Linked DNA regions of Caenorhabditis elegans. The protein of the gene in region 1 purifies or fractionates together with the protein of each later gene. This does not show direct contact. Each region holds a gene or a part of one and is shown on either strand. Other genes may lie near its edges.

Region 1 (3,138 bases):
GCTACAAAGCGTGATCAAAGAACATTTTTGATATCTGTATCAATACAGACATCAATTCCACTTTTTGTTATAATCGCACCTGCTATGGCGGTTTTGTTAGCATCGTGGACGGGAACTTATCGTCAAGAATGGATGAATTTGTCTAACGTTTGTATTGCAACTCATGGGCTTGCTGAAAGCATTTCAATCATGTTGGTACACAAGCCCTATCGAGCAGCCATTAGGAGAATACTCGGAACAGGAAATACAATCGCCAACCATAGAAGTGTTGAATTATATTAATTGATAATTAAAATAAATATAAATTATGTTTTAGATTGTTTCGTTCACGTGCTAATACAACCGCCTTAACAGACTCGAAACCGACGCTACCAGTGAAAAGAGATAACAAAGCATAAACTAGACGGTTCGATAAAATCTGCAATTCATCGGTTTCTTCTTGGGCTGGGTTAAAAATAAAACACCGGTAGTTGAACAATGTTGTTTTAAAAACTGAATTTTAAGTTTAAAACAAAGCAATTCACAAAGCATCAACAATTGTCATTATTCATTGTATTAATCACAATCGCTTCCTTGGACAGTACTTTGAACACAATTAGTGCTTCGATGAACAATCCGATATTCTTGAACATTGTCATTATCGGGCCAACCGTTTCAAAATTGACACTTTGAAATTGCTGGGAAATCGCTGAGGGAAGAAAACTAAATATGAATATGATAATTGAGTCGATGAGTGCAATTCGGGTTGCCTGAAATATTTTTCTGCAATAAAAACAGTGAAAACTTAACTTAGTAAAGCCCAATTACATTGAAAATCTCTCCAAATCCTGGTCACAGCGGTTTTTAACAACTACGGTAACAAACTTACTTTTGTGAACAGTGCATTTTTTTGTGTTCCTTGAGAATAATTCCAGATTACAAACCGGCACGATAAAATGACCAACGAGACTAAAATCAAGGAATCTGTGTATTTCTCCACCGACAATGTATAACTATAAAAACACGCGTTCACAGTGCACTTGAAATGATCACAGTCCAATGGCACATCTACCACAACGCCACAGTATCCAAAGAGGATATATTGATGAACTAGTAAACATGCAAGCAAGAGTGATAAAATCCCGCGTAACGTAATTTTGTGACGATGATTATGGTATAAAATTGGAAAATAGGTGGCGAAGATTCTGTCCAGGTTGATTACCAATACTAGAATCGGACGAATAGTTACTAATAGGTTAGCGGGCCATGCCAAGTAGAAGGACATGTTCTTCATAACAAAACCAGGGTGAATCTGGCGAGCAATGTAGTATGCTTGAATAAGGAATGCTGTAACATTATGGAGTTGCCAATTTATTTGTGCTACGACTCACCAGAAAACGAATAAACCATATCAACTGAAATTCGAATATAAATTAATACTAAATCTGGTTTTCTGCAGAGCTTTTTCGAAACAAAAATAGAATACAACAAGTAGAAGTTCAAATAGAACACTGTCTGAGTGAACAAAAACGAAAAAATGACGGTTGAAGTTTTGACGAGAAGCATTTTTTATGAATGTAAGGTAACAATATTCACACTATTTTGCCGAGAGAAATGATTTCCAAATTAGCGATATATATATATATATATATATATATATATATATAGGCAGGAAATTGATAAAAGCAAAAAAAAATAATAAAACCTCCCATTATAAACAAAAGTCAGAAGAAGAACAGAGACCGCTTGACTGGGCTTTTGCCAAAAAGATGTCATTACTCACACGTATAATTTTTCCGGTCTGAAAGGACTCTAGGACTTTGCCATAATCACGTGCCTTAAAAGTTTGATAATAAAGAAGCTTCCGAAAAATGAGAATTTTTGCTCCAATTCAAAAATTCAAAATTACTGTCAATGCTCGTCGGGAAGTTAAAAATTTTCAGTAAATCTTCAAAGAAAAAAAAAAATTTTCTGTCAAATTTTTGGCTGAGAATTCTAAATCGCACAGAAATTTCAGTCAATTGCCATCAAGAAATTTGAATTTTCCTTAATTTTTAAATCAATTTTTCGACGGAAATTTCGAATTTTCAATTGAATTTTGGCAAAAGATTTAAATGATCATTTTTGCTTCAAGTGATACAATACGGGTCGTAACGACCGAAATTTGCTTAATTAAAAAATTTTTTTTTTTCAATTTTACAACAAAAAAAGTTTCAAACTGGCTAATAAAATTTGAATTCCCGAGTGAATGATTTACCGACTTTCAATACTCTGGCATTTTCTGGCTACATTGTTTTTTTTTCTCGATTTTGTTCATTAAGTTTCCAACCCTTTTTACGAGCCACGGATTCTCTCAGAACATTTAAGTTTCCCGCCAAAATATTTTTCGCAGAAAATTTGAATTTCCCGCCAAAACATTTTTTCCGAAAAGTTGAATTTCCCGCCAAAATATATTTCTTTGAAAATTGGAAATTTCAGTGAAAATGTTTTCTCAGAACATTTTAATTTCCCGCCATAGTATTTTCGAAGGGTCTCACTACAAAGGGAGCCCGTCACAGACTACAAAGAGGCTATAAACTATGATCATTCATTTTATTCAAATATAAGTAATGATTTTAAACCAACTTTATAAAAGTTTGTAACAATTTTCCGTTGAAAAAAATATGATTGTGGGCCTGAAATTCAGTAACCTAGCATTCACGGGTGTTTCCTTTTATTTTCCAAATTTACAAATGTCTCTATTTGCGCTTCGGGTGCACCAGAAAGCTAGAACTTTGTTATTACTTTAAAAACTTCAGGAACAATTATTCAAAAATTAGTTATATGACCACTATCTCTAGTGAGGTTCCCTCGTGATGGCTGAACGTTGATGAAAATTTCTGACCCTGAAATTTTATCATATGTTATACAACTTCATTTTAAAAAAATCACTTTTGAACAACCATCTTCCAATTACGTCTCGATATGGTTTGTGCACAAAAATGACTCCCACACTTTCGCACAGGCCATGAAGTAGTGCACAACAAAAAGCCAAGTTCATTGCTTTCTGAGAATAGTAGCCAAATGAATTGAAGGCGAAAACAATAGCAAGTGGTATGATCACTACGGCAAAGGGTATCGAGGTTTGAAACAATATGCTGACCAGAAAAGTTTTCTGTT
Region 2 (3,464 bases), 3.7 Mb from region 1:
TACTCTTTAAAGGCGCACATCCTTTTCCATTTAACAAAAAAGTCGTGTCGAGACCGGGATATAGAATTTTACATAACTTTCTCACCGTTTTTAGTCTTTCCCCTTGCACTGTTACTTTTTCCTCGAAAACCGCCTCAATTCGTTTCCTCTCCGCTGTATTCTGCAAACATTGTTTATAAAACCGGCAAATTGAAATTGAGTTTCAGGTTACAGCTTTGCCTAATACGATAAAATAAACAAAGAAATTAACTAACCCGCTCGAATTTTGAATTCAGGCTTATCATTTGTTCTTCATTAGATCCATTGATATTAGATAACATTTGAAGAGCATCTTGTGATTCTTGTACTTTATCTTCGAGCCTTTTAACGTTTTGCTTGTTTTCACTTAATTCGAACACGTTCTCTTCGATTCTGGCTTCTAATTGAACAACCCGTTCATTTCGTTGTTTCAATTCTTCGGATTGAGCATCATACGATATTTGCAACTGCTTCACAGTTTCTTCTCCTTCGCCAATTTTCTTTTCCAAGTTCTCATTTACGATGTGCTGTTTTTCACGTTCCATGCTTAAATTACGAATCGAATTTAGGTGTTCCTTGATTTCGATATCTTTCTCCTGAGAAATAGCATCCATTAGTTTTTGAGCATTAACTAGCTCAGTACGCAAAACATTCACATCATCTTCAGAAGGCCTCTGATCGAGCATCTTTTCAAGCCGAGAAACTTCGATTTCGTACCGAACAACATCTGATTTCACAACTTTCAGCTCTCTTTTCAGATCCTCCATTTCAACTTTGCCCGATTCAGATTCATCCGTAATTTCGCGCATTGTGACGCTCATCTGTTTCAATTTGGCCATCAAATCTCCACGTTCTTGTTTAACTTGTTGCAATTCTCGGGACTGCTGGCCGCTCTCTTTCTCAAGTTCCAGAAATTGCCGAGTAACCATTCCTTTGTCGGCTGTGAGAACTTGAATCTGCTGTGCCATGTATGGAATCTCATCTTCTGTGACTTCTGAAGCTATTGCCATTACCGATTTAATATTATCAAGTTCTTCTTTTATCCGTTCAGCAAAACGTTTCTCTTCGTTAACTCTTATTCGAAGCTCTTCAATTTCTTGATCTTTTGTAGCAAAGGCGAGTGGAGCTTGCTGAGGTGGAGTGTAATCGGGATGATTTCTGTTGGCTGATGTCTGAAACTATCAAAAAATTCTATTGAATCAGAGATTAATCAACTTACGTCAGAATGTTCTTTTTCAAAATGAACAGTAAGTTCATCAGGACCACCGAGCTCTACCATACACATTGGGCACAAGAACCCTTCGATCTCCTGATCATTTTCTGATTTTTGTGATTGCGACTGTGAACCTTGACTTGAAATACTTGGTCGACTGTTGTTTAGTCGGCCGTCAATCTAAATAAATTATCAAAATGGAAAAAACTAATTTTTTTACAAAACGGAAAACTTACATCATTCGCGACTTGCGAAACTTGTTCTTTCAACCTTCGAAGCATGTGTTCTGGAAAACAACAGTTCATCGATGCGATAATTCGAATGTAACGAACGGAGATTTAAATGTGATACACGAAATAGATTACAACAAATTGAGATATATCATCAGATCGATATAAACGAAGAGGGAAGGCGAAAAGCATTGATTTGACAACAAAACCGGCGCATTTTCTTCTCTTTCTGTCTCGAAAGATGATTCAAACATAGCGCAAAACAAACTGGCAAGTGGAATTCTCTGTTGGTCACTCAAATAAATAACCGGATTCCCTCTGATTTCTTTTCGTCTCTTCTCTCTCGTCTGGCAACGATGCTCCGTTTTGACGCAGTGCGCCTTGTTTATAATTAGTTTTGAATATTATTTTTTCATTAATTTTCTGAATCTTTGCAATTCTTCGACGATTTAACATAAAATGGTTAGTTTTCCTTTTAATTTTGTGATATAAATTGAAAAAGTACATACTCAAATTATTAAATGTGTTATAAAACTGTTGGTTGTCTCGGATATGAGGCTGTTCCGCTTAAATGTAATTTAAATTAATGGTTTAGGTATGTAGAAAGTCCCGAATTTTTGTTGTAACTCACGAAATATTACTATTTCAGCTGTTCTTCTCATTCTTCAAATCACTCGTAGGAAAGGACGTTGTCGTGGAGCTCAAAAATGATTTGAGGTGCGGTTTGTTAAATCAGTATATACAATTTACAGAAAATCGAGAAAATAACTGGAACCCATGTAAAACTTCAATTTCAAGACATTTCTTAAAAATTGGTTCACAAAAAATGCTTAAAACTTCTTGGGTTCAATATTCTGAATGTCTAGAAAGAATTCGAAACTCCCCGAAAATATGTATTAGCCAGACGGAAATCATTTTCAACGATACACTTCCACATAATGAAAATTCCGAATTTCTCGAAATCTCTTTAAACGCAAGTGCCATTCCTGGGTTTGAATTTAAATTATGAAATTCCATTTAAGATTAGTTCTGCTAATTTTTATAAGTTTTGAAGTTTAAATCTCACAAAATTAATATTTAAAAAATAATTATCTTATTCTAATCTCTCAAATGCAAATTCTAATAATTTTTCAGTATCTGCGGAACTCTGCACTCGGTCGATCAGTATCTCAACATGAAGTTGACCGATATCACCGTCTCCGATCCAGAACGATTTCCACATATGGTCTCTGTCAAAAACTGCTTCATCCGCGGATCCGTCGTCAGGTACAATTAGTTATCATTTTTCATAAATATTTCAAAATGATTCTTTAAAGGTACGTGCAACTCCCATCCGATCAAGTCGACACACAACTCTTGGCTGACTCCTGCCGGAAGGAGCTTCTCGATTCAAAGGCAAAACAGTAAATCCACGTGTTCATTCCTCAAAGTTCATCTCATTTTTTGTCAAGTTTGATATCATCTCATTTAAAAAAATATTTATTTTTATAAAAAATTCGTAACAAACAGGTTTTATTCACAGTTTCAAATGGTGTTTATTGCAGGCGTGTTCATTTTGTTTTCTCCATTGAGGGCACCGGTATGATAGTAGAAAGTATTTGATTGCTAAATAATTCCAGAATATTACGTACTGATGGCCACACCGTATTGTCCATAATGAGTCCAATAGGAGATGTTAAACGTGAGAAATAGTACAGGGAACATGACTCGAGATATAAGATCTGCTCTTTTCGACTTGTCATTCCATTCAGTCTTTGTTTTGATCCATTTCCAGACGCTATTTGTTTGACGGCGATTCATTCGAACTGTCATTACTTCTCGTTCTTGTTCAGCAACTTCTCGTGGTACCCACACATCGTTATGTGAATTTTGAAGGAATGGAAGTTCAGCTTTCTCTCTTTCAGTTCGAGCCCCTGAAAATTAGCAAAAAAAACGTAGGAAAAATTCTGAAAAAAAATCCCAACTGACTCTTATTAGCATCTTGCTTGTTTGCAATATAAGTC

What was found. Proteins that work in one complex are often made in the same cells at the same time.
Region 2: the proteins of srbc-62 (region 1) and gut-2 fractionate together in Caenorhabditis elegans (co-fractionation; one large-scale study listed by BioGRID). This does not show direct contact.

Annotation. Positions count from the first base shown.
Region 1 is NC_003283.11:17,216,397-17,219,534, reverse strand, and holds srbc-62 (Serpentine Receptor, class BC (Class B-like)), read right to left. Parts: upstream 1,546-3,138; coding exon 1,371-1,545; intron 1,327-1,370; coding exon 869-1,326; intron 750-868; coding exon 531-749; downstream 1-530. Other genes in the region: srh-109 (Serpentine Receptor, class H), read left to right, coding at 1-282.
Region 2 is NC_003283.11:13,495,856-13,499,319, forward strand, and holds gut-2 (U6 snRNA-associated Sm-like protein LSm2), read left to right. Parts: upstream 1-1,885; 5' UTR 1,886-1,920; coding exon 1,921-1,923; intron 1,924-2,110; coding exon 2,111-2,178; intron 2,179-2,595; coding exon 2,596-2,727; intron 2,728-2,777; coding exon 2,778-2,868; 3' UTR 2,869-2,964; downstream 2,965-3,464. Other genes in the region: eea-1 (FYVE-type domain-containing protein), read right to left, coding at 86-160, 255-1,196, 1,238-1,411, 1,468-1,512; avr-15 (Ig-like domain-containing protein), read right to left, coding at 3,085-3,374, 3,430-3,464.